3 linked regions of the Saccharomyces cerevisiae S288C genome follow. The protein of the gene in region 1 purifies or fractionates together with the protein of each later gene. This does not show direct contact. Each region holds a gene or a part of one and is shown in the gene's direction. Other genes may lie near its edges.

Region 1 (7,129 bases):
CTCCATAAGGTATATCGATGATGGTATGCAGAAAAAATCAGGCTTTTCATTTAAATGCCATCGTCAAACCAATCCTAATAGGGCACCTGGCTCCAATGGTCAATCTCTAGTGTATCCTGTAAATAGCATTGCATTTCATCCATTATATGGTACTTTTGTTACGGCTGGTGGTGATGGTACCTTCAATTTTTGGGATAAGAATCAAAGGCATAGATTGAAAGGCTATCCTACTTTGCAAGCATCTATTCCTGTATGCAGCTTCAATAGGAATGGTAGCGTATTTGCGTACGCTCTAAGTTATGATTGGCATCAAGGCCATATGGGCAACAGACCCGACTATCCAAACGTCATTAGGCTACATGCCACAACTGATGAAGAGGTTAAAGAGAAAAAGAAAAGGTGAAATTCGTTCTTCGGATAGCTTCCGTGCGCAACCACATTACTTTTGTAATTTTTTATATTTGCAATATGTAAAAGATATATATTTTTTAATGATACAGGTTCTTTTGGAGAGAATAGGAAAATCTCTCTATACCTATTCAAAATTGATAAAAAGTTTTACAGGTTACACTGAGTCGCCGTTTTAACCGGTGGTAATGTGCAGACAATACTTTCATTAATTTTCATCTATATGTAGCTTTCTTTCCAAAGCACCTATGATCTTTTTGTTTTTCTTTTTGGGAACCACTTCCAAGGTTTTTCCCTTTGATTTAATTTTTTTTGTATTTGGTGAAGAGCTGAATGGATTTTCAGAAGTGGCGCTCAAATCGTTTAGAACCTTTCGTGCATCCAAATGAAAGTCGTCAAATGCAATTTCATCCTCCCTTTTTATCAGGACACTTTGCGGCAAAAATCTTTTCTTTTGATGGTTTGTCTCTATAATACTATCAATTTCAATTGTTAAGTCTTCAATGTTTTCCTTCCTTTTCTGTTTATTAGTGTAGTCAATATTATTGGGTATCAGTAATTGTCCTATTGGAAAATATTCATAATGCTTCTCTTGTTCTTTAAGTAGAATATTCTCCATTTTCCACGACTCATCAATTGCGGAATACACATATTTATTATAGCAACTAAGGCGGAGATTTTCATTCCAGTTTTCACTCATTTCCAACTCAAAAAGGAACCAAAGTCGTGAATACTTGATATCTCTTCTATTTTCTGTGCTACAAAGACAATGATCACAGGCAATATCATTAAGTTCTCTATCGAAAATTTTCTCTTGTAACTTTTTCAAATTACTTCTTGTTAGACATTCCGTTGCTTCTTCATTAGCGACATTATTTTGTAAATGCTGCGTATCTTTGTCTTCTTTTGCTGCAACATTACCGGAGTTTTGCTTTGGTTTTACCGAGTGTTCTTTATGATAACTCGATAAACAGTGTTCTTTTATGTTCTTCTTCGGTTGCTTTTCTGGGCTGGTATTGGATATCTTCCTGCTCAAGAATCGGGAATATCTTTGGAGTTTATTTGGGAATTTGAGATAGTTTGTGTCTTTATTTGAAATTGTTCTTTTTTCCCTCATTTTTTTTTCAGGAAACAAAAAAATTCTCTGAAAATGCTTTTGCTAGTAAATAAATATGGCTATGTTTCCATTGTTGAACTTTCCATGAACGTCTGGAGATTATTCTATTATTATAGTATTTGCTGATTAAAGTATTATAAAATTAGTGACACAAAATAGAAAGTATTACCCGACTTTGGAGAGGAAAGATTTCTAATGAATAATTTCCATCTGAATTTTGAATGGCTTTATAAATCAATAGAAGAAATTAAGAATAAAATCTGTTTGTAGGAGAAACATTTCACAAAAACTACAGCTCGGATTTCAATTGTGATGTATTCAACTCCACTAAAAAAGAGGATTGATTACGATCGCGAAACGTTTACGGCTTCGGCTTCCTTAGGAGGAAATCGCTTAAGGAATCGGCCAAGAGATGACCAAAACAACGGTAAGCCCAACCTGTCGAGCCGTTCCTTCCTAAGCGAAAGAAAAACCAGGAAAGATGTATTAAACAAGTATGGCGAGGCTGGAAATACTATTGAATCAGAACTTCGTGACGTAACTACACACGTCAAGATAAGCGGGTTGACTTCCTCTGAACCGTTGCAGTTGGCTAGTGAATTTGTCCAGGATTTGAGCTTTAGGGACAGAAATACGCCAATACTAGATAATCCAGACTATTATAGTAAAGGTTTGGATTATAATTTCTCAGATGAAGTCGGTGGATTAGGTGCATTTACCCCCTTCCAAAGACAACAAGTGACAAATATACCAGATGAAGTTTTATCACAAGTTTCAAATACCGAAATAAAGAGTGATATGGGTATTTTTCTCGAACTGAACTATTGTTGGATAACCTCTGATAATAAATTGATCTTGTGGAATATCAATAATAGTTCAGAATACCACTGTATCGATGAAATCGAGCACACCATTTTAAAAGTGAAACTAGTTAAGCCTAGCCCAAACACTTTTGTTTCTTCTGTTGAAAATTTATTGATTGTCGCCACTCTTTTTGATATCTATATTTTGACAATATCATTTAATGACCGTACTCATGAGTTGAATATCTTTAACACAGGATTAAAAGTAAATGTAACTGGGTTCAACGTTTCTAACATAATAAGCTACGAAAGGACTGGACAAATATTTTTCACTGGTGCGACTGATGGTGTCAACGTGTGGGAATTACAATATAACTGCTCGGAGAACCTATTCAATAGCAAGAGTAACAAAATATGTTTGACAAAGTCAAACTTAGCAAATTTACTACCTACAAAACTAATACCTAGCATACCCGGAGGAAAGTTGATACAAAAAGTACTAGAAGGGGATGCAGGTACCGAAGAAGAAACTATATCACAGCTCGAAGTTGACCAGTCAAGAGGCGTTTTACATACTCTATCAACGAAATCTATTGTCAGATCTTACCTAATTACTAGTAACGGGCTAGTAGGACCGGTCCTCATTGATGCTGCTCATATCAGGCGTGGAATGAATGCATTGGGTGTAAAAAATTCACCTCTACTCAGTAATCGAGCTTTCAAGATTGCCAAAATTGTTTCTATCTCTATGTGTGAGAACAATGATTTATTCTTAGCTGTTATAACTACTACTGGGGTACGCTTGTATTTCAAAGGTTCCATTTCTAGGAGATCGATTGGCTCATTAAAATTAGACTCTGTAAAGTTTCCTCCTACCAGTATATCTAGCTCCCTCGAGCAAAATAAATCTTTCATAATCGGTCATCACCCCTTAAACACACATGATACAGGCCCACTTTCAACACAAAAAGCTAGTTCAACTTATATCAATACCACTTGCGCTAGTACGATAATATCACCAGGTATATACTTTACGTGCGTGAGGAAAAGAGCTAATTCCGGAGAACTATCTAAAGGTATTACAAATAAAGCTTTGCTGGAAAATAAAGAGGAACACAAACTTTACGTTAGTGCTCCAGATTACGGTATATTAAAGAATTATGGTAAATATGTAGAGAATACCGCACTACTCGATACGACAGATGAAATTAAAGAGATTGTTCCCTTAACAAGATCTTTTAATTACACTTCTACTCCCCAAGGTTACGCCAATGTGTTTGCCTCACAATACAGTGCAGAACCATTAAAAGTTGCCGTTTTAACAAGCAATGCCTTAGAAATTTATTGCTATCGCACGCCCGACGAAGTGTTCGAAAGCTTGATTGAAAATCCTTTGCCATTTATTCACAGTTATGGTTTATCTGAGGCTTGCTCTACGGCACTTTATTTAGCTTGTAAGTTTAATAAGTCAGAGCATATTAAATCAAGTGCCCTGGCCTTCTTCTCTGCCGGTATACCTGGGGTAGTTGAAATAAAACCGAAAAGTTCTAGAGAAAGTGGCAGCGTGCCGCCAATCTCACAAAATTTATTCGATAAATCTGGTGAATGTGATGGTATAGTACTATCTCCCAGGTTTTATGGTTCTGCGTTATTAATTACAAGATTATTTAGCCAAATATGGGAAGAGAGGGTCTTTGTTTTTAAAAGGGCTTCCAAAACGGAAAAAATGGATGCTTTTGGTATTTCTATAACTAGGCCACAGGTTGAGTATTATTTATCATCGATATCTGTTTTGGCAGATTTCTTCAACATCCACCGTCCTTCCTTCGTTTCATTTGTGCCTCCGAAAGGTAGCAATGCTATAACTGCATCCGATGCTGAGTCTATTGCTATGAATGCTCTTATCCTCTTAATAAATTCTATTAAGGATGCGCTTTCCCTTATAAATGTCTTCTACGAAGATATTGATGCTTTCAAATCTTTGCTAAATACATTGATGGGTGCAGGGGGAGTTTATGACTCCAAGACACGTGAGTATTTTTTTGATCTTAAGTTCCATGATTTGTTTACCCCTAACGCAAAAACCAAACAATTAATAAAAGAGATTTTAATAGAAGTTGTAAACGCTAATATTGCAAGCGGCACATCGGCAGATTATATTGTGAACGTTTTAAAGGAACGCTTTGGATCTTTTTGTCATAGTGCAGACATTTTGTGTTACAGGGCAGGAGAGCATTTAGAAGCAGCACAGAAGTTTGAAATGATAGATTCTAAAATATCAAGGAACCATTTAGATACCGCAATTGACCTTTATGAAAGGTGTGCCGAGAATATAGAATTATGTGAATTGAGACGTGTGGTGGATATCATGGTAAAACTTAATTACCAGCCTAAGACTGTTGGATTTCTACTTAGATTTGCAGATAAAATTGATAAAGGAAACCAAGCACAAGAGTATGTGTCTAGAGGTTGTAATACTGCCGATCCAAGAAAAGTTTTTTATGACAAACGCATAAATGTGTACACTTTGATTTTTGAGATTGTCAAAAGCGTGGATGACTATACATCTATCGAACAATCCCCTTCAATTGCAAATATATCTATTTTTTCACCAGCTTCGTCACTGAAGAAAAGAGTTTACTCAGTGATAATGAATAGCAATAACAGGTTCTTCCATTATTGCTTTTATGATTGGCTTGTCGCAAATAAAAGACAAGACTACTTATTACGTTTGGATTCTCAATTTGTTTTGCCGTACTTGAAAGAAAGAGCAGAAAAATCTCTAGAAATTAGTAATCTGTTGTGGTTCTACTTATTCAAAGAAGAACATTTTCTTGAAGCAGCTGATGTTTTATATGCTCTAGCTAGTTCTGATTTTGACTTAAAATTAAGTGAAAGAATCGAATGCCTAGCAAGAGCAAACGGTCTTTGTGATAGCTCAACGTCATTCGACCAAAAGCCGGCACTGGTCCAGTTATCTGAGAACATCCACGAACTTTTCGACATAGCTTCCATTCAGGATGACCTACTTAATTTGGTAAGGAATGAAACAAGGATTGACGAAGATTATAGAAAGCAACTAACACTTAAACTAAATGGAAGGGTGCTCCCATTATCAGATCTCTTTAATGATTGTGCAGACCCATTAGATTACTACGAAATAAAACTAAGAATTTTCAAAGTATCTCAATTCAAAGATGAAAAAGTCATTCAAGGAGAGTGGAATCGATTGCTCGATAGCATGAAAAATGCTCCATCGCCTGACGTGGGAAGTGTAGGCCAAGAATCCTTTCTTTCCTCGATATCCAACACACTAATTCGAATTGGTAAAACAACACGCGATACGGACGTTGTTTTCCCTGTACATTTCTTAATGAATAAAATATTAGAATCATTCATTGATAAAAGTTCAGCTGCTGATGGATCTGTATGTTCAATGTTCTTGCTTGCCGGAGTTTCTCATTTAAAACTCTATTACATTCTAAGTCGTATCATAGAAAACTCTGAAGGAAATGTCGAATTGGCAAAAAAAGAAATGGTATGGTTGATCAAAGATTGGTACCAAAGTGATTCAGATTTACGCGGTTCAATTGCGCCAGAACAAATCAAAAAATTGGAGAAATATGATCCGAATACCGATCCCGTTCAAGATTATGTGAAGGATCGTCATCATGGCCTGAAATGAACGGAATTATTTGTATATTTTAGCAGTTTGATTGTGAAGTTTTCTTTAATACGTAGGCAAATTCTTACGTCATCCTTTATATAGTGAATGTAAACTGCTGTTTTACGGTACGCTAACCGTAGCGAACTGAGACTGTATATGGTAAACAGTTAGTTGATCGTATGGCAGAGAATCTAGTTATTCTGAATACGTTCCCTTCACTTGAGCAGCTCAAAATATACACACTTAAACGCGATAGAATATACATAGAAACGTAGAAACGACATCAGTCGCTTTCGCTTCCTGCCAGAAGGATTAATAGAAGGGGAAGAGCCAGCTCCGTAGTTAGCGCATGCGGAAAGATGCCCATACTCAACAGCTCAGTTAAATATGACAGGCTAGGGCTATTTCTGTAATAGCAATGATGCCATCACGTATGAGAGTTCGGATACGAGTTGTTCTCATAAACATTTTTATTAGCATTGTTCAAAAAGTGTTCTAATTCATTTTTATAAGTTTCCTGTTTTTCAATAAAGGCAAGCAACTCATCGTCTTCCAAATCCTCGTTGTTTTGCCATTCCATATATTCAGCCATGTCAGAGGGTAGAGCGTTCTTTTGTGCTTCCTGCTTTAGCCTTTGCATTTCTCTAAGGTGTTCACCTTGCATGATCATTTCTTCCATCTTTTCTAGGCCACCGCGTACTTTGGTCATTTTGTCTCGACGTCTAGTTAATCTCATGGACTCCAACCGTGATCTCTGATCCGCTCGTTGTCGTTCTGAAGGGGCAATAGGGGATGAAGAATGAGGCCCAAAAAAATCCTGTGAACGATCTCGTCTACTTGATATTATATCTGAAACCACAGAAGGGGAAGTGTCAATGTGCATAGTGCCACTTTGTTGTTTGTTCTCTTCTGATAGTCTACGTGTAGATGTTCTTAAAGATTGAGGTGTTAAACTCCGGTCAAAAGAAACACCTGTACGCTGTAGTTCTGCGGCCTTCTCTTCATTCCAATCGAAGCAACAGTCATCCGAATTTAAATTATGATTGCTGTACATTTCCGAGCTAAACTCTTTGACTGTATTTTGTTCCTTTTAATGGTCAATTAGTCGTGTTGTTTGGCGATGACTTTCTTATT
Region 2 (11,051 bases), on another chromosome or scaffold:
AAATATGACAAACATCCGAGGTATATGAGAGCTCTCGAAGAAAATCGCGACTTGATCTTACATCCTCAAGATTCGATTTATAACGGGCTAAATACCAATGAAGTCAAAGGTAATACAAAGCCCGGTTTGGTCGATGTGGAACTGGCCGAATTAAACATAGAATACATTGATAAGATGACTTGGAAACGGTGTATTAGAGACGGAACTATGACATTAGACAGTTGGGCTCAAACAACTTTTTCAGCAAGATACTCAACTGTTCTGGAAAAGTTAAGAGGCATATACATTTTTTGCACAGAGATGTTTGCTCTGACTGATGATAATGGAACGTCAGATTTTTCTGCGGAACCCCAAAATTTAGAGAAAATACTATACAGAAAGCATTGTACGCCATATGAATTGACATGGCTTTTCAAGAAATTAGCAAACTCATTGGGAATCACTTGTGAAATTGTTATAGGTTTCCTGAAAACACCGAGTGCTATAAATTGGGAGTTTAAGTATAACCACTGCTGGTTGAGAATACTGGTTAACAAAGAATGGAGATTTATTGACGTTATTTTAGGAAATGTAACCAACCCAATTCATGAATTTGTAAATAACAGAAAGATCAAGAAAGCAGAAAATAGCTACTTTTTGATGGCACCATTAGAAATGATATACACACATATACCGCCTAGGGAATTTGAGCAGCATATTGTTCCTAGTATCGATCAATTATCTGCATTGTATCTGCCATTAGTTTTTCCATCTTTTTTCAAAAATGAGTTAAAGTTATACAAATTTAGTACTGCACTATCATTTTTGGAAGATTCTGAGATCTACGAATGCTCCTTAGAAATTCCCAATGACGTTGAAGTCTTTGCATCCGTGGTTATTCCAACGGATAATGAAGAAGCTTCATCTGCGTACAGGAATATGGAACTCGCACTGACCCAAATCAAAAAGCAGAAAGCCGAGTCTGGTAGAAGAATTGCTCTAATCAAAGCAGTCCTACCACCCAATGTGAACAAAGGTTCACTGTACATACATTCAGGTGTAAGAGGTACGCAAACGAGTATTGCCAATATCCATCCACTGTCCATGATGGTCCCATTAACACATAAGGGAAGTAACATGAAATACGAATTTGTGATCAAGATACCCTCAGAAAGCATTCAGAAGATTGAGCTATACATTGTCGAGCCACAGAGTAGATATCTATTTGTTGGTAATGAGTACTCATTCGAAGTTATTCAAAGTCCCTCCGATGGTATTGTATACAGCAGTGATGAAGGGCCGAACCAAAATAGGAAACAACCAATGGCAATAAAATCACCCTCAGGAAGAGTTCATGAGCTAGTCAAGAGCGATCCCCACTTTCCTTATGGTACCTGGAAAGGAAGCATTAAAATCAAAGAGCCCGGCGTCTGGAGCGCTTTAGTGATCGCTGACTCTGGTATTGGGTGGTCCGTTTTTGCTGAATGGTTGTGCGTATAAACGTTTTTCACAAATTTTTTTACAGCGCTATAATCTGTATCATTCAACATACATTCTACTCAGGAAGGTGAATTTCATAACTCATATATGGCTATATAGTACTTATTATTTAATGATTTATCCATTGCATTCATAAAAGCTATGCTGGTCCAACTTTTTCGTATTTAGTGATGTTTTCGGTGAAGAAAATATGAAAAATTAGACCAAATGCTCAAATACATACGACATTTGAATTGTTTAGGCAAGTCCGAAAACGAGGTATATCAGCTAATTCAACCTGAAAACCAATTGAGTGCTACTTCGAAGTAAAATACATAGCCATTTCAAATGGAATTATCCCCTACTTATCAAACAGAACGCTTCACAAAGTTCTCAGACACTTTAAAGGAATTCAAAATTGAACAAAATAATGAGCAAAACCCCATTGACCCGTTTAACATCATAAGAGAGTTTCGCTCAGCCGCGGGGCAGCTTGCGTTAGATTTGGCTAATTCTGGAGATGAAAGTAACGTCATATCTTCTAAGGATTGGGAACTGGAAGCTAGATTTTGGCATTTAGTAGAACTGTTACTGGTTTTCAGGAACGCTGATCTTGATCTAGATGAAATGGAACTTCATCCTTATAACTCGAGGGGTTTATTTGAAAAGAAATTAATGCAAGACAACAAACAACTTTATCAAATATGGATAGTGATGGTTTGGCTCAAAGAAAATACATATGTGATGGAAAGACCCAAAAATGTACCAACTTCAAAATGGTTAAATAGTATTACTTCTGGAGGATTGAAAAGCTGTGACTTGGATTTTCCTTTACGAGAAAACACTAATGTCCTCGATGTTAAAGATAAAGAAGAAGATCATATTTTCTTCAAATACATTTACGAACTAATTTTGGCCGGTGCGATTGATGAAGCATTAGAAGAAGCTAAACTTTCCGACAATATTTCAATTTGTATGATCCTGTGTGGGATACAAGAGTACTTAAACCCTGTCATTGATACGCAAATTGCAAACGAATTCAATACCCAGCAAGGTATCAAGAAGCACTCTTTGTGGAGAAGAACAGTTTACAGCCTTTCGCAGCAGGCCGGTTTGGACCCTTATGAAAGGGCGATATACAGCTATTTGAGTGGCGCTATTCCCAACCAAGAAGTTCTGCAATATTCGGATTGGGAGTCTGATCTGCACATACACTTAAATCAAATTTTACAAACTGAAATTGAAAATTATCTTTTGGAAAACAATCAAGTAGGTACTGATGAACTGATTTTACCATTACCTTCACACGCGCTAACTGTACAAGAGGTGCTTAATAGAGTGGCTTCAAGGCATCCCTCAGAAAGTGAACATCCAATCAGAGTTTTAATGGCATCTGTCATACTAGATTCTTTGCCATCAGTTATTCATTCATCCGTGGAAATGTTGCTTGATGTCGTCAAGGGAACCGAAGCTAGTAACGATATTATAGATAAGCCTTATCTTCTGAGGATAGTTACACATTTAGCCATTTGCCTTGATATAATTAATCCAGGTTCTGTTGAAGAGGTTGATAAGTCCAAGCTCATTACTACGTATATCAGTCTTCTGAAATTGCAAGGCCTTTATGAAAATATTCCAATATATGCTACTTTCCTGAATGAGTCAGACTGCTTAGAGGCATGCTCTTTCATATTGTCTTCTTTAGAGGACCCCCAAGTAAGGAAAAAGCAAATTGAGACAATAAACTTTCTAAGATTACCTGCCTCAAATATTTTGAGAAGAACCACACAGCGTGTTTTCGATGAAACCGAACAAGAATATTCACCATCTAACGAAATTTCCATATCTTTCGATGTAAACAACATTGATATGCACTTAATATATGGCGTGGAATGGCTTATTGAAGGGAAGCTTTATGTGGACGCTGTCCACTCTATCATTGCCTTATCGAGGAGATTTTTGTTAAATGGCCGCGTAAAGGCTCTCGAACAATTTATGGAGAGAAATAATATTGGAGAAATATGCAAGAATTATGAATTAGAGAAAATAGCCGATAACATATCAAAGGATGAAAATGAAGATCAGTTTTTGGAAGAAATAACTCAATATGAGCATTTGATAAAGGGCATAAGAGAATATGAAGAATGGCAAAAATCCGTTAGCTTGTTAAGCTCTGAATCGAACATTCCTACTTTAATAGAGAAATTGCAAGGTTTTTCAAAGGATACATTTGAATTGATCAAGACATTTTTAGTAGATTTAACTTCCTCTAATTTCGCGGATTCGGCAGATTATGAAATCCTGTATGAGATTAGAGCCCTATATACTCCATTTCTACTGATGGAATTGCATAAAAAGTTAGTGGAAGCCGCAAAGTTGTTAAAGATCCCAAAATTTATTTCGGAAGCCCTGGCATTTACCTCATTGGTCGCTAATGAGAACGACAAGATTTATTTATTATTCCAATCTAGTGGAAAGTTAAAAGAGTATCTGGATCTCGTTGCTCGCACAGCAACCCTTTCGAACTGATCAATTAATGTATTGCAGAATAAGTTTATATTTTAAGTAAACAGCAATAATTTTATGCATTTCTTCTATCTATTTCAGAAGTAATTGACGTGATTTTTTATAGTTTTGCTTTGAATCTTTGTGTTTCCACACCGGAGAAAAAAAAGTTCATGAAGTGAAAAAGCGGTTAAACATGAATTTTCTACTATCTAAAGATAAAATTACAGATGCAGTTACTTACATACATTGAACAGTTTCTGACGGCAAATTTAGCTTCTATTAATTTTTTTCTGTAGCTGATGAAAAATTCTGTCCCTATGATGCGCCAATGGGTCATCAACATCCGTCGGAAAAAATTCATTTCTAGGGTATTCAATATCATCTCCTTCATCAGAATCATCTTCGTTATCACTTATCTCTATTTCACCTTCTTGGCCATCCAAGTCAATGAAATTCGAGGAATTTATGGATTTCAAGACATCACTTTTTCCTCCAAGCCTGTTAAAAAGATCCCCGTACTCTTCCTCCACATCGTGGTACCCATTAGATCCCTGAATTTTATCGTCATTCCAAGAGGAAAACCTGCTCTTATTAACCCCTATAACAATCTCTTCACCCAATGCAGCTATATCCTCTCCTTCGCTACCAAATAGAATAGATCTATCATCATCTTCATCCTCCGGATAATCATTTTGGTAATAGTTTTCGTCATTAGAATCCTCATCGTCTGAACGGGCTTCATTGGGATCACTTTCTTCATCAAGAGCCAAATCTATATGCTCAATAATTTTCACAAACCCTATATTTTTCTCGTTGTTATATCTAGCAACCTCATCGTCATGAATTTTCTCCAAATGGTAGATGTCAAAAACGTAATCTAAACTGGGTAGTGATGCAATTTTTGCAGAATCCCCAGTAAAATATTTCCTACTTGGTTTTTTTCTTTCTGTCTTTTCTACACCTTTATTCAACTTTAAATAGTCATTCACCATTTGATTGATCTCTGGCGGTAACCCATCGTCATCTACAGTACTTCCTTCTGCTGCAAGCCGCTGTTGTGATTTTTCATCATCTGAGTCTCTACGACTTTTTTTTCTTTGTTCCAATACAAAATGTCGATGATCTTCATGAGCCAGTTTTAAGAGTGGCGTAGAAGACTCTTGCTCGGATTGATAGCTTTCAGAGCTCACAGTCTTTGATAATTTAAATATGAACTTCTGCTTCTTCACTCTTTTCCCCTCATCAATTACTGAATTGTCCCAGATGAACTTAGTTAGTCAAACGCATTTTTGTTATATCGGTAGAATAACAACACATACATAATGCCTGCACAGAATCCTCATCCCTTCTTCTCTTTACTCTGATAAACTCAGGTGCCGTTGTGGTACTAATAGTGCTCATTCCCGAAATCTTGTATGCCTACCTCAACAAAAGCTATACCTCAGAGAGCAGTTTTATATACCATCTCTTGTTCTCATCAATAACTTGTCTTGAGCATTACACAATTTAAATCCCCTGTGCCGACACAAACAAGAGATAACCCGGAATCAATATTATCTGATTGGGCTCCTAAATATCGCATCTGTGGACTTGAATCCACATGCTGCGAACTTATTTGAAGCAACAATTACTTCTGTTGGAAGCGTGGTAGTGCCAAATCAGACTTGCTCTTTAGTTTTCTTATGTTAACGCTTTACTGCCTTTTTCTTCTATATTTTTGAACGTCAATATGTAGCGGGCGTCAGCAGAGGAACAGAATTTGTGACACTTCTTGAATGAACATTTCTCATATCTGAAACCGCATCATCAAAAGGACACCTCAATAGAGATTCAGTGACATATTTAACATAGTTTTATGGGTAAGAAATATTATTAATTATGGTACGCAAGAATAAAATAAATAGAGCGAGTGGAACTACAAAACACCTCAAGGATTTTCCATCAGTCATCCTAAGTCTGCCCAGCTACAACCCTTCCATCCTTTCTAAAAATGCAACTGCACTAATAACCGGTGGTTCTAGTGGACTCGGATTTGAACTTGCAAAGGAACTTTCCAGAAGAATTAATAAAGTTATTGTGGCAGATATTCAATCATTTCCTACTTTTGCTCAGGTAGAATATAATAACATTTTCTACTATCAATGCGACATAACAAGTCTAGATGAAATTAAAAATTTGAAAAAAGCTATTGAAAGAGATCATGGCAACATTAATATAATTATAAATAATGCTGGTGTTGCTCACATCAAAAAGTTAGAACATATGACAAACAAGGAGGTAGAACAATTGATCGACATAAACTTAATAGGTGCTTACCGAATCATCAGTACATTTGCAGAAGATATGATAGACAATAGGGAAGGCTTTATAATTAACATTGCTTCAGTCCTCGGAGAACTGACTCCTGCAAGGCTGACATCGTATGGTGCATCAAAAGGAGCAATGATTGGTTTTCACAAGTGTATGAGCAGGCATTTCAGAAGTTTGTCCACGGAATGTAATAAAACTGGAATAAAAACACTACTGGTGTGCCCGGGAAAAATCAAAACTAATATGTTTATTGATGTCCCTACACCATCTAAGTTATTGGCTCCTGACATCATACCTTCCCAACTGGCACTAGCGATAATCTCTGCGATGGAGCATAATCATCTGCAAACACTAAATGCCCCATATTATGTGAACCTAGTTCCCTTTTTCAAAACTTTGAGTTGGCCATATAGGCATCTCTTAAAACATTTCAGTGGAATGGACCATGTAACGTCAACCAGCCCGCGAGCAATAAATCCGAAGAGAAGTGCATAATATTTTAGTCTATTTAATACATTTGACGTTATTTGATCTTCACGTTGTTTATATATATATATATCAAGTATGCTATAACGCTAAAAAAAAATGCTCATAATACTATGCAAAATCTTGATGTCTTTTGACTTCTTTCCAAATTTCTAAATTTTGACGGGCATAATTTCTCATATATCTGGAATAATGCTTTAAAATTTCTGATAAATCTACTTCCCTTTCTTTAGAAAATTTAGGTAGCTGGTCATTTTTGATGACTTTTGAAATGACCTCCAAATCATTCTCAGTAACTTCCAATGATTCAGACAGTTGTTCAATTTCTTTCTTCAAATTGATACTTGCGGTATGCGGATCTGTTTCTTGATACTTCACAGAATCTTTTACCATTGATGCCAATTTGTTAAATCCATTGAATAGTTTGCCACCATATGATTTCCCACCGCTACCTGTATTATTATTAGGGCGTTCCAGATTAATAGTATGACTTTTAGACATTTCGTTGTCAATTATTTTGTCAACATCCTTATATTCATTGTTTTGCGCTTCCAGCTTCTCCAACTGTGCTCTTTTGGAATTCAGAGACTTTTTAATCATTTCATTTTGCAGGTATTTCAATTTTCTGTATTTGATCAATTCTCTTGCAGAAGTTGCCATATGAACAGATTCATTTAAAGGCTCATTTATATTGTAGTATAGTCTTCCAACTAATTTTTCTAAAGAAATCGAGGACCCCGAAAAGGCATTGCTTAAGTAAGAAAGCTGTTCGGCCAATTCCCCAACTTGAGCCTGTTCATGGGCAAACTGTGCAAATACCTCACCGATTTCATTGTAATCCGATTTCAAATCGTGATAAGTCTTCGTGGTTCGTCTATTATACTTATAAATCCCGTTATCTAACAAGTTCTCATATTGCTTGTAATCCTGTTCAATATTAGTAAACGACTTACTTCTTTCCTTATCCATTTTTTTGTCGTTGGACTCCTTATTCAACAATAACTGTGACGAGGAGCCCGGTATTGGTAACATGGCATGAATTCTAGTGGTGTTAGTGGGATCTAGTGGATTACACTGGAGGATGCTCTTCGGTAAAGATGAAAAAGTGGACGAACTGTTAACAAATTCATGCCAATTATGGTTATTAGGATCCAAAAAATCGGTAATTATAGATGTTTTTGTGATTTCTTCGTTCGTCAAAAGTTTGTTCAAGAACTCAGTGAGCATTCTTATCCTATGCCGTATTAACTTTTCATCACTATTATTGACCGACGCATGTATCACAGACAATGATAGATCTACTGAACCAGAACCTTCTGAGGGCAGCAAATACTTTGAACTCGAACCAGTTATTGACTTACCATAATTCTTTATTGACTGCTTTTCTGGAATCGGCGGTATCAACGTCATAGGAAACAATCTTATCAAGATACTTCTCAAACTCTCGAAATCGCTGTAACGTCTCTGAACGGTAGAATTTTCAAACTGAATAACATAGGCGATGTAGGCTCTTCCTTGACCTTCGGAAACTCTTTTCGCTTCAAGTATGTGTATCCTAGCGGACTTCTTTCTATTACTTACAGAAGGTTCTTCTGACGCAGAGGTCTCTCCGTTCATGGAGTTAATACTTCCACTAAGACTTGTTCTACATGTTTCTGCATTCGATTCTTGGTTTAAAGGCAATAATCCCTCAGAGTCATCCTCGTAATCTTCATTCGGGTTCTTTAGGTTATGGCTTCTCATACCGGGTATTTCTAATAAAGCTGATTTTGTGAATCCTGTTGGCCCCTCCTCCATGAATGGGTTGTCTTTTTCTAACAGGGCTGTGTGTACTAACTCAGTTTCTACTTTGTTATTGTCCCCCTTTCCAACCTTACCCTTTTTTGGGCTCTTTTTTGGCGATCCAACTCCATTCTTAGAAATTTCTGCCTCTGCCACATACTCAGTTGTCCCATGAGGTGGTTCAGCCTTTCCTGTATTCCGAGTTTCCGAATTCAATTTAGCATTTTCTTGGACATCATTTAAGTCTGACATTGTGTGCTGTAGAAGACAACTTTTCTAGATGGTATGTTCAATTGCACCACCAGTATTCGAGCTAGTCATCTCTTCATTTTGGAGATGACTTGCTGTAAATCGATAAATATTGGCTTACTCAATAGCCATATCTTAAAGGGGGCACAATGGGTGAGTTGTCGGGTAAGGGAATGTAGATCACGTGAATGAAAATTCAAGTGTTTTTCGAAAAGTTTCACCATGGCGATGAGCAAGATTGAAACAGCACTATTGTAACTATATAATTGCTAGTAAGCAAATAAGCCAAGCCTTATTAAAATCCGGTGAAAAGAATTGTTTAACGAACGTTACAAACTCTATACCTTTTTTTTACCAGCAAAATGGTTGGAGGTGCTCTCATCTGCAAATATTTACCACGCGAAGAGCAACTAAAGCTTATATCAGACTTGATTCAGAATGACAGCTTAGAAGAGGTGCTGGAGTTGATTGAAACTTCGCCACTGGATATAACGACGGACAGCAACATTGAAACACCAATCTTTGAAAAAATTACTGAGCAGGTCATTGCGTATGCTAGTATAGACGGTGAAGCCAGGGAAATGTTTCGCTCTTCGAGGGCTGAAATGAACAAGGCGCTAAGAACTTCTGCACAATTACTATGTTGTTTACCCAGTGTATGGCATAAATTTCAGGTGTGGATGAGCTACCGGTTAAATGACATCATTAGCGAAAACTATAAACATCTCTTCAATGACAACTTTGGAAAAAAGATTGTACAACCATTTTTCGATTCTTTTGCTGAGGAACAAAACGCTAATATCAAGCATGAAAATCTGCACTTAGATATCCTTAGCCTGCTTCACTACTTAGAAGTTGTATATTTATTTGACGAATGTAAGAATGGTATATCGTCCAAATGCCTAGATTTTATCATTGTTCCATTGTTAGGCTGTAATTCGGAAGAGATTGCTGATTCCTGCTCCAAGTTAATGAGATGGCATATCAAATATTTATCGAAATGCTGCAATACCGATAGTAACTTTGATAAGCTCATTTGGACATTTATCAAACAATTGTACGCTGAAGGCTCCCAACAAGCTTGGAAGCAAAAGAACAGTTTATCTTTTCTCCTAAGATTCCTTTTAGCAGCAGAGTTGTCTCCTGAACTTATTACTTATATAAAGACCGATGCTTATTGGAGGCACATTCAAACAGAGCTGGATAATGATGTGCACGAACACAGAAAATTGGCACTCTCAATTCTTAAATTAACAATTCAAAAACTGTCATCTCATGGTATAACATTGCAAACAACATTTTATAAATGCAATGATCTAGCAAATATCGAGATGCTGGGTAGCTGGAAGAAATTCACCACCTTATATGAAATGATTGCTCTGGACACATCATTGAATCAAATACAAGCGGCCAAACAAGATATAATAAAAATTTTTGATAACGAGCATTTACACCATAGTTGGGGCCTTATCTTGCTTTCTACGGGATTGAAATCATCAATGGAGAGTGTCAGAAAATACATGATGACGTTAATGTTCTCGATTACAAATATGTCAGCATTCTCTTCAAACTTGCCATTATTGACAAAAACTCTTCTTCCAGCTGCAATGTCCGCTCATTATTTTGATGTAAAAGGTGTCAGTTGTCCCCATGGTGAAAAACTTTCATTATTTGTCAATAACTTACTTTCCCAAACAACAGAAGGCATATCAGATATATTATTTGAAATTTTGAAATTATTGGTGGAAAAAGGGACCTCTTTTGACCCTTCTAGGATATACTTGTCCTACGGTATCTTAGTTTTCTTCCAGAATAACAAACAGAAAACAATCAACTCTGACCATTTGAGTCTGATCAGGAAATTGTACGATTTTGCAGCCGAAGAAGAGGTTCTCGAAACTACAATCCAAACAATTTACTTGAAGTTCTTACTGTACATTGATCCATCTGTCTCCGCATCTGAATTATTGTTTACATTAGTTTCACACATTAAGTTAAAGGGAGGGACATACAAATATGTTGAGCCTCTTTTTGAAGATTATAGGGATCTTGCCGTTTCTCACTTTGACGATTTGCAAGCGAAAGAAAACTTGACGACAAACATCGGAAAGGATACTATTTTTGACCTCTTAGCATCTATCATCTTCGATTTCAAGGATATTGATATTACTCCCGATTTTTTAATTGAAGTTGCGAAGTCGAAGCAAGATATACCCGTTTACACTTCAAAGGCAGTTACTTTTCTAACTCAGCTACTT
Region 3 (11,286 bases), on another chromosome or scaffold:
CAGGCTGTACCAACCGACCCAAGTGGAGATTTCCCTGGCAACAGTCACGGACTATCATCATCCCCATGCTGTTTATTGGCGAAACTGCAATGAGCACCAGGGACCTAAGGTCTGTGCTGCATGATTGTGAGATCAGGCACGCGAGCGAAATGCCGCTGCAGCTACTTTGGACGTCGTCACCGGAGTTGGTGTACGCCACACCGCATGTTGACGACTACGACATTTGGTCGCGCTACGGGTCTGATTACAACATGCAGATAGAGGACGAAGACGAAGCATCAAAAGGGCGACAGCGCAAGTGTGTGGTGCAGTTGGAGGCACTGTTGGGTGCGCTACCTACTACGGACCCGTTGTTCCAATGGTAGCCCGGGCCTTTTTTTTTTTCATCAGCTTCTCTTTTAGGCCGTCGGCCCCGTTCGATGTTCACCCGTCCTGGACAGCTTGCTCTCCCCCCTTCCTCGTGCTGCGCGACTGTTTACGTTATTGGCTTATTGTATTGTTTTCGCATCTAGAACGTTCAGGTTCAATTTACGCAACGGTGTTTCACTCGAAGCATCTGGCTGTACAAGCAAATGCTGCGTTCTCATTCTCCTTTATATAACAAGCTTCTGCCTTAAAGCGTTCATATGTACATACATATACACCACTCAGGCACTCGCATAATCGCACTTAAATACGCAAAATATACAAGATAGCCCTACAACTGCTCCATGGACTCCAAGGACACGCAAAAGTTGCTTAAGGAGCACCGAATCCCCTGCATCGACGTTGGATGGTTGGTCAGGCCCAGTGCCTCCACCAGCAAGAGCTCCAGACCAGGGAAATCCGAGTCCAAGGCCAACAGTGTGGCTCCTGACATCCAGATGGACACTGCTCGCCCGCCCGTTTTCGAAACGTCTGTAGACTCTTCCAGCAGCATTCTTTCTTCAAACGATAAGGGACGCCGTCACTCCGTAGCTGCGAGCTTGCTAATGGATAATCAGCGTGCTAACGCTGGGTCTACATCCGTTCCCACAAACATTCCTCCCCCTAGGGGTAGGTCGAAGTCAGTGGTGGAGACTAACCTGTCTAACGTTGAGGCTGACTCCGGACATCATCACCACCACCGCCACCACCATCACACGGAAGATGCTCCTGCACCTAAGAAGGTCGGATTCTTTAAGAGTCTGTTTGGCCATAGGAAGAAGGATCAGGAACAACAGGAGAAGGAACGAGAAAGGAAAGAGCGCTCACCCTCTCCGACTCACGTGGACCGTGGCGCGGCCATAAGAAGAGAAAGAACGGCTACCATATCTGCGGAATCACCACCGCCTTTGCAGTACAATGCTCCACCCTCTTATAACGATACTGTGGTACCGTTAACAAGATCCAAGACGGAATCAGAAGTGTATTACGAAAATCATCCGCAAAGCTACTACCATGGCCGTATGCGCACATACCACTCACCAGAAGAGGGTAAAGTCGACGGAACTTCCCCCGCAGACGATCATAACTATGGCGGCTCTCGACCTGATCCTAGATTAATGGATTTCTTGCGCTACTACAAATCTAAGGATTACAAATTAGCCGCCTTCAAAGAAGGGAACTTTATTAAGTCATCTGCGTCTCCCACAACCAAGAAAAATAGACGCGCTTCGTTCTCATTACATAACGACAAACCACAACCTGCCAAATCACTTGCTCACCAGAAATTTGACGCTAAGGGAAGACCCATTCCGCCGCATCCCGACGCACCCAAATTGCCTTCCGCCTTCAGGAAGAAGCATCCAAGCAACGCATCGATAGTAGACACAGTGGATTCCAATTCGGACGTTTCCTCGTCAGCGCAGAATAATAATCAGACACCTTCTTCTCATAAATTCGGCGCCTTTTTAAGGAAAGTTACCTCTTATGGGAACAACAACAACAACAGCACCAATGCCTCCTCCCTTTCTGCAAACGTCAATAATCCAGACACCTCATCGACGTCCCTATGGTCTTCTAGTTCAATGGAGTTCGACCCTTCAAAGATAACCACCGTCCCCGGCCTCGAGAATATACGGCCCTTGAAACACGTCTCCTTTGCTACGAACACCTATTTCAACGATCCTCCACAACAAATATGCAGTAAAAACCCTCGTAAAGGTGAAGTGGAAGTGAAGCCTAATGGATCTGTTGTCATTCATAGGTTGACTCCGCAAGAACGCAAAAAAATCATGGAATCGACTAGTTTGGGTGTTGTCGTTGGGGGGACCGGGCAATTAAAACTATTAAATCCCGAGGAAGACGACGCAAATGCCAAGAGTAAAGAGGAGATGGCCCCTCAAAAGCAGAACGAAGTGGAGGCACACGACGAGGAGGATAACAATTCTCAAAGGAGAAACATCGTTATGGCCGCTGCAGAAGCTGCTGCAGAGGCCAGAGCCAAAGAGGCACCTAACGAATTGAAACGTATCGTGACCAACAATGAAGAAGAAGTCACTGTCAGTAAGACCGCCAGCCATTTGACCATCGATAAGCCAATGATTTCAAGAAGGGGTGCTTCCACATCCTCTTTGGCCTCCATGGTGTCCAGTGATACCAACGGTACGAACGCAGATGATGAAGGAGAAATTCTTCCCCCACCTTCTTTGAAGATACCTCACGACATTGTGTATACCCGTTGTTGTCACTTGCGAGAAATTCTGCCCATACCAGCCACATTGAAGCAATTGAAAAAGGGCTCGACGGACCCTATCCCCATCTTACAGTTACGTAACCCAAGACCTTCTATGGTGGAAATTTGGTCGTTCAGCGATTTCTTGAGCATTGCTCCCGTTTTATGTCTTTCGTTGGACGGTGTACAATTAACCGTGCAAATGCTTAGAATAATTTTGAGTTCGCTGGTTTACAAACAGCATTTCCAAAAACTTTCTCTAAGAAACACCCCCTTGGATGAAGAAGGATGGAAAGTTCTGTGTTATTTTGTCTCCAAGGCCAAGTCTCTGCACTCTATTGATTTGACAATGGTCCCTTCCATCAAGACAAATGTACAAAAGCCTTCTAAATCTTCTTTGAAGTCAAAAATTCTGAGAATGCAATGCAACTTGGAAAATAGATCCGACATGAACTGGGACCTTTTGACAGCTTCTATTGCCCTCATGGGCGGTTTGGAGGAAATTGTCATTTCCGGGGCCAAGATGAATTCTGCACAATTCAAAAACTTCATCCTCGTTGCTTGTATAGCAACCGAGAGATTGGGCCTCGCGTATAATGGATTATCTAAGAGCCAATGTGATGATTTGGCCAAGTGGATGGTTCAATCAAAAGTGACAGGTCTAGACGTTGGTTTTAACGATTTGAATGGCAAACTTTCCTCTTTCACCGATGCTGTTTTAGGCAAAATACAAAAAGCTAACGAGAAAAACGTCTTCAAATTTTTATCTCTAAATGGGACAAATTTGAGAGTGAACGAACACGACACTTTTGAGAATAACGAGGTCTTAAAACTGATAAGCGTTTTATGTTATTTGGAAAATTTAAAATTCTTGGATATATCGAACAATCCTGCCATCTTCCCCCACTGTGTTCCGACGCTGATTGATTTTTTACCTGTTTTTGTTAATCTTGTCCGTCTGCATATCGACTACAATAATTTAAGTTCCACGAGTGTAGTGATGCTGGCCGAAATATTACCCATGTGTTCAAGATTGAATTATTTTTCCATGTTAGGAACGGAATTGGATTTGGCATCGTCTAAAGCTCTAGCAGAGGCGGTGAGGAAAAGTTCATCTTTGATGACTTTGGACGTGGACTATGTGTATATGCCAGAGAACATTAAGGAAAAAATTTCATTATATGCTTTAAGAAATATTCAAGGGGAGTTGAAAAGGGTTAATAGTGACGATAAAGATATCAAAGATAGCCAATTTTCAAGCCTACAGGACCAACTATCACTTTTATTAACTGAAAAAGCGGATAATTCCGAACATTACAACAAAATGGTTGAGAATTTCATGGCCAAAATCGCGTTGGCACGTATCAAGATTAGTAAAGTGGTTCATGATCTTTTTGATTTAAAACTGAATGGACAATTAAATTTGGAAGGTAAGGAAGCTTTGATTAGATTATGCTTCATAGAGGCAAGTTTGGAAAGAGGCTGTGACCTGCTGAAACAAAGACATAACAACACTTTGAAATCACCAGAGGCCGTCTCAAAAAGTCGGAAAGGGGGAAATCAAGCACAACCCAATTCCGAAAGCTGTCAAAGAATGTTACTAAGCTCATCTATATTACAAAATTCAGATCATATTGCGCTTATGCCATTCGGTAGTGCAATAGTCGAAAAGTCAAGCCCAGATGCAGAAGATGCCGTCGAATTCAGAGAAGGTGACGACTCCAACGTAAATCACGAAGACGTACCAGCAAATGATCAACAATTTCGAGATGAAGTTGATATCAAAAACAAATACTCTATCATTAAAAGAGAACTAGAACACGAAAAGCTTGTCGGTGGTGGCGATTTGCCAGTGGACAAAGAAATCTTAAATCGTGCCGCACAATCCTTAGATAGTGACCAGATAAAGGAATTTCTGTTGAAGAATGACGTCTCTACTATCCTTGGCGTCATTGATGAACTGCATAGCCAAGGGTACCACTTGCATCATATTTTCAAAAAACAGGGAAACCAAGAAGAGACCGCGTTCAGAACAAAGGATGAACAACAGTCCTCCCAATCCAATGATTCAAGTGCTAATGCGTCCCCTACCACTGATCCGATATCCACAGGCTCCAATACTTCTAGAACGAACGATAATGCTCATATTCCTCCGACCGATGCGCCTGGATTTGATAAATTTATGAACAATGCAGAGGAAAATGCCATTGACGCTGCTTATGATGATGTGCTAGACAAAATCCAGGATGCGCGGAACAGTAGTACTAAATAATAAGGGATTTCTCTTAATTTTTTAATCTCTTTTTTGTATTGGGTTTCGAAAATATAATAAGGAGCCCTCAGACATTTACGTATCCTTTCATGTATGATTATTTTAAGTATTTTGTATTTTTTATTATTATTAATGTAAGCATAATGCTTTTGTAGAACTTGAGACAACCCGGACGGGTCCGATGAGTTTTTTTCTTCAAACTTTTATAGAAAATAATAAATGGTGTTAGCACCACTCAGATGTGATATTTGACGTGTCGATTGTGATACCTGAAGACGCTATTGGAGAGCCATTGCAACGCACAGTCCAACAGTAATAAGCTCTGATCGTTTTGAAAAAGTATGTTTCTTTCCATTGGACGGTTGTCTTCCGATCAAAATTTTATCTCCTATACAATTTCTTCCTATTTACTAACGAAAACCTGCGAACCTGTAAACTACATGATTTTTAATATTAGTGAACTTCAATACACCTCAACAAAACAAAACGCCCTTTTCGTTCGGGACTGCCAACAATAACTCTAACACCACCAATCAGAATTCCTCTACTGGTGCGGGCGCCTTCGGAACAGGTCAATCAACATTTGGTTTCAACAATTCTGCGCCAAATAACACGAACAATGCAAACTCTTCAATCACACCTGCATTTGGTAGCAATAACACTGGTAATACTGCATTCGGTAACAGTAACCCCACAAGTAACGTTTTTGGCAGCAACAATTCTACGACTAATACATTTGGTAGTAATAGTGCAGGGACATCCCTTTTTGGATCTTCCAGTGCTCAACAAACGAAGAGCAATGGAACTGCTGGAGGAAATACATTTGGTTCTTCATCCTTATTCAATAACAGTACTAATAGCAATACGACAAAACCTGCGTTCGGCGGTTTGAATTTTGGCGGCGGCAATAACACAACTCCTAGCTCGACCGGTAATGCTAACACAAGTAATAACTTATTTGGCGCTACCGCAAATGCGAATAAGCCAGCCTTTTCCTTTGGTGCAACCACTAACGACGATAAAAAAACAGAACCAGACAAGCCTGCTTTCTCCTTTAATTCAAGTGTCGGTAATAAGACAGACGCTCAAGCTCCCACTACAGGATTTTCCTTTGGTTCACAACTAGGTGGAAACAAAACGGTTAACGAGGCTGCAAAGCCTTCCCTTTCATTTGGTTCAGGATCAGCTGGTGCTAACCCAGCTGGAGCTTCGCAACCCGAACCTACAACTAATGAACCAGCAAAACCAGCCCTCTCTTTTGGTACTGCAACATCCGACAATAAGACAACTAACACAACCCCAAGTTTTTCGTTTGGTGCTAAATCGGATGAAAATAAAGCTGGTGCTACTTCTAAGCCTGCCTTCTCATTCGGTGCTAAGCCAGAAGAAAAGAAGGATGATAATTCCTCAAAACCAGCTTTCTCATTTGGTGCCAAATCAAATGAAGACAAGCAAGATGGAACGGCTAAGCCAGCATTTTCCTTTGGTGCCAAGCCCGCGGAGAAGAATAACAATGAAACCTCCAAGCCGGCATTCTCTTTTGGAGCAAAGTCTGATGAGAAAAAGGATGGTGATGCCTCTAAACCTGCCTTCTCTTTTGGCGCTAAACCGGATGAAAATAAAGCTAGTGCTACTTCTAAGCCTGCCTTCTCATTCGGCGCTAAGCCAGAAGAAAAGAAGGATGATAATTCCTCAAAACCAGCTTTCTCATTTGGTGCCAAATCAAATGAAGACAAGCAAGATGGAACGGCTAAGCCAGCATTTTCCTTTGGTGCCAAGCCCGCGGAAAAGAATAACAATGAAACTTCCAAGCCGGCATTCTCTTTTGGAGCAAAGTCCGATGAGAAAAAGGATGGCGATGCCTCTAAACCTGCCTTCTCATTTGGTGCTAAATCGGATGAAAAAAAGGACAGTGATTCTTCGAAGCCTGCCTTCTCATTTGGTACTAAATCGAATGAAAAAAAGGACAGTGGTTCTTCGAAGCCTGCCTTCTCATTCGGTGCTAAACCCGATGAAAAGAAGAATGATGAAGTCTCCAAGCCTGCCTTCTCATTCGGAGCAAAGGCTAACGAAAAGAAAGAAAGTGATGAATCAAAATCAGCCTTTTCATTTGGTTCTAAGCCTACAGGAAAGGAGGAAGGCGATGGGGCGAAGGCTGCCATTTCCTTTGGTGCTAAACCCGAAGAACAGAAATCCAGTGATACGAGCAAGCCAGCGTTTACTTTTGGTGCTCAAAAAGATAATGAGAAGAAAACAGAGGAATCTTCTACGGGGAAGTCAACCGCAGATGTCAAATCAAGTGATAGCTTGAAATTAAATTCTAAACCAGTAGAATTGAAGCCAGTTTCTCTCGACAATAAAACACTGGACGATTTAGTAACGAAATGGACTAACCAACTAACAGAATCGGCCTCTCATTTTGAACAGTATACCAAAAAAATTAATAGTTGGGATCAGGTACTAGTGAAAGGAGGTGAACAAATTAGTCAGTTATACTCAGATGCTGTGATGGCGGAACATAGTCAAAACAAAATAGATCAATCTCTACAATATATCGAGAGGCAACAGGATGAATTAGAAAACTTCTTAGACAATTTTGAAACCAAGACAGAGGCACTTCTGTCCGATGTTGTGTCTACAAGTTCAGGTGCTGCGGCCAACAATAATGACCAAAAAAGACAACAGGCCTATAAGACAGCCCAGACTTTGGACGAAAATTTAAACTCGTTGTCATCCAATCTTTCTTCTCTAATAGTAGAAATCAACAATGTTAGTAATACATTCAACAAAACCACTAACATCGATATAAACAATGAAGACGAAAATATTCAACTAATCAAAATCTTGAATTCACATTTCGACGCTTTAAGGTCACTAGACGATAACTCCACCTCTCTGGAAAAACAAATCAACTCGATAAAGAAATGATCTAAAAGAAAAAATTCCCTCTATTCTACACTTATTTGACATAGGATGTGCTATATTAAATAATTATATATAGGTATCAAAATGTACGCGATGGTTCAGAACCTGCAATTAATTTAACACCTCAATCATACTTGTTTTTTTCCTTTTTCAAGAAGTTTTTGTAATGTGTCGTGCCGATCTGTAAACGACCTGGATTTTTATTTCATTAGACAGTAAATACGCACCAAATCAGAACCAAAGAAAGGCTTCTGTAGTGTATGAAACTAAAAGCCACTTTTTGTGATAGTTTCTTCTTAGTACTTAGTACACAACCAAATATTTTGCAAAATGAAATCGATTCCTAAAAGTAATTCTTAAAAGTGATAATGAATGACTTAATCGTTATTTTGATATCCTGTTAATGTGCATAACATCACAATTAGCTTCACCATTTCGTTTAAACTTTGGTTATTAGGATCCGACGAATTTTTCTTATCTTCTTTTTCCCTCAAAAGATCTCTTTTGAATATTCCGATCACTAGCCTCTTATACGTATTCAGTAAACCCTTTACCGTTTGAACAACAGCTTTGTTTGAGCTCCCCATGCTCACTAAAACAGCTGATATCAATTGGAATATAGGAACGATTAACTCAAACAAGGAAACACCATTAGCATCTTTGTCAACTAGTAGCGGATTATCCAAGGTGACGTTAACCTTTAAGAATTTGGAATTCTGAACGTAGACTTCGTCAAACATAAGGTCTAGACCCAAATCAGGATCAACTTTTAAAAATGACAATTCCGCGATTATTCGGAATAGATTATTTTCAATTAAAGCGCTAGCTCCACCTCTAGTTTCGGCAACACGTATTAAAAAGAATACAGTGGCTTTAAAAGCTGTCAATTCATATAACAAATCATCAATGTTTATGTGCTCTGTAGTAGAATTTAACAAAGCATCTGTATTTTTCAGCGAACGTATTATTAAGAGCAGTCTTGTAGTTTTCATCAGTGAATCCAATATAAAATTCTCTTTACTTCTATTAGCCAGTTGAATAAGTGAATCCAATAGTAATATACCTGTAACCCTACTAGTTCCCTCGCCATAAACAACATCGTTCCATATGATCTCTACCAATTTTTTACTTCCTAGTCTCAAATCCTGCAGAACCTTTTCGGACCCTACTTGGTCGCTTAGAACTCTACTCAAATAATGGTTTGCTAATATATAGAAATCGGACCTTAATGCCACAGAGGAGAGTGGGGAGTTTATACCCTGAATACATGTCTTGAACAACTGATATAGCCTGCCGTCTACCGTGCCTTTGTCGGTAATCAACTTACGATCGCGGTTATATATATCAAATAGGAAAACGGCGAGAGAAACCAATTCTTCTGAAAAAGTTATATTAAACTCAATATAATCACTAATCTTCGGAATAATTGTACCAAAAACCTCCAGAATAAAGTTTGATCTTGTTGATGGTTCCAATTTTCCATCAGTAACAATGATTTGCACCAACTGTACCCAAGAGTGCAGCACAGATAGGTTCAACTCCAATGCTTTGTTTCTTGATATAATATTCGTGAAATGGCTTTTTGCTTTTATACACTCGACATCTGCATCCTTCAAAAATTGTTCTTTTGACACAGTGAGACTGAAGGAATTAGAATGTAAGCTTTCAGCACGGACTCTTTTAATCAGGCGCATAAGGTTTTCCATTTTGTGAAAGTCATAGATATTGCCGGAGCAATACTTGTTAAGAGTGACTTGTTCCAAATTTAAAGGAACATTGGTGAAAATTGATAACGTCTCTTTTGGTTCGCAGATATTGCCATAGTTTAATGGATCCAAGAAAGAAAACAACCTTACCGAATACATTGTATTTGATATCAAGTAATTCACATATGTTAAAACCTCTGATTTCGTGCCCGAAAATGAAATTTTATGAATGAACAGACCCAAATATTGTGTCCAATAATTCCTGTAGGCTAAGAATGACAGAAATGCACCAACGGATTCGCTCTCGATGAAGTTCTTACATTTTTCCTCTGTAGAATTGTCAAAAGGAGAGCCGTTCCATGTCGTGAACCTTGTCACTTGTGGATCGAGGATCATTATTCTCTCAAAAAAGTTTTCTTTGATTAGGTATGAATATAGTAGACCAGATGTTAACGGATTACGACATAGTTTGAGAATAATTTCCAGTGCTGCTGTAGCCAATCTCATAGGTGCATAATCGATATTGTCCTTAGTAATGCTGTTCAATGAAGCTTCCAACACGCTTATGAGGGAATCAAGTAATGAGGTTCCGGAAGATATAAATGTTGCTAGGTTAGGTCCCAGGGATATAACGTTTGAGACCTGGAAACCTAATAACAGATGAGAAATAGTCATCGTTCGACTATAATTAGAAAGATTTGATGTTAAGAAATCTAATAGTTCTAACTTCAAAGCAAGGACACCAGCGTCGGTTATTGAGCTTTCCAATTGTGTAATAAATGCATCCTTTATTCTGGCTGATTCATCTACGGAATCGAATATTGTTAACAACTTATTTCTCTTAGACAAAGACGCAACGGAGCCATTAGAGCGTTCTGAAAGTTTCGCCAAAATACGCAGTGAATTTGTGGCTAAAATTTGATCATCGACCCCGACGTATAAACCCAAGTGTGCAACAAGTGGAATATTGAAAAAAATTGCATCGTAAAATGAACGTAATCCGTGAAGAGAATAATTCTTTGGCAAGAAATAATCCGTCTTGCCATGCTTCTTAACAATTGGAAATAATTCTTCCACGTATGTCTCCTGATAATCCAATACTTTATTGATAATTTTCACAGCTAACTGCAACAATTCAGCCTGATTTTTGCCACCTTCTAACTCTATGGACAATTGATCAACACCAACATCAACTACATTAAATATACTTTTGTAAATCTTTTCCGTGAAAATATAGTTGAATATGGGGATAGCTGGGCATTCTTGAACGTAATTGAAGAAATTTTCGCAATCCACCAAAGCATCCAAATTCGCAGCTGCAGGAATAGAATTTAAAATTACACTGTAATCAAAAGAGCATAAGCCCGTATAGATAATTTTCAAAATAGGAAGCTGGACGGCTCTTTTATTTCTGATATCAACAATTTGATCCACGTGCGCTAAAATGTCGTTGAAAATGTAGTCAAAATATGGCCATATACCTACCTTCCTATATCCCTGACCTAATCTTGTTGGAAATGCCAATTTGCCAAAAACCATGTATTCACTATTATTTTCACGAGAATGAATAGAAATCAGATTATGGAAGAGTTGTAAAAACCCCAAAACGTCAGAGTATTTTGTTAACACGTTTGTAAAAGCATTTCTATAAGATTCGGATGAATAATTCAGCGATGAATCCTTGAAAATTAGAGAGTCTAGAAAAGACCAAAATTTTGTTCTAGAAGATTCAAGTTTTGGAACCAAGT

Evidence for each region.
Region 2: the proteins of NUP157 (region 1) and NUP84 purify together in Saccharomyces cerevisiae (affinity purification with mass spectrometry; 6 studies listed by BioGRID). This does not show direct contact.
Region 3: the proteins of NUP157 (region 1) and NSP1 purify together in Saccharomyces cerevisiae (affinity purification with mass spectrometry, with the first as the bait; 2 studies listed by BioGRID). This does not show direct contact.

Annotation. Positions count from the first base shown.
Region 1 is NC_001137.3:366,722-373,850, reverse strand, and holds NUP157 (Nup157p), read left to right. Parts: upstream 1-1,837; coding exon 1,838-6,013; downstream 6,014-7,129. Other genes in the region: RNA export factor GLE2, read left to right, coding at 1-403; MAM1 (Mam1p), read right to left, coding at 617-1,525; RTT105 (Rtt105p), read right to left, coding at 6,423-7,049.
Region 2 is NC_001136.10:249,760-260,810, forward strand, and holds NUP84 (Nup84p), read left to right. Parts: upstream 1-1,806; coding exon 1,807-3,987; downstream 3,988-11,051. Other genes in the region: CYK3 (Cyk3p), read left to right, coding at 1-1,479; IWR1 (Iwr1p), read right to left, coding at 4,236-5,215, 5,286-5,367; YDL114W (short-chain dehydrogenase/reductase), read left to right, coding at 5,845-6,771; ATG20 (Atg20p), read right to left, coding at 6,874-8,796; TRM3 (tRNA (guanosine(18)-2'-O)-methyltransferase), read left to right, coding at 9,156-11,051.
Region 3 is NC_001142.9:360,539-371,824, forward strand, and holds NSP1 (FG-nucleoporin NSP1), read left to right. Parts: upstream 1-5,245; coding exon 5,246-5,246; intron 5,247-5,364; coding exon 5,365-7,835; downstream 7,836-11,286. Other genes in the region: YJL043W (uncharacterized protein), read left to right, coding at 1-365; MHP1 (Mhp1p), read left to right, coding at 711-4,907; NUP192 (Nup192p), read right to left, coding at 8,210-11,286.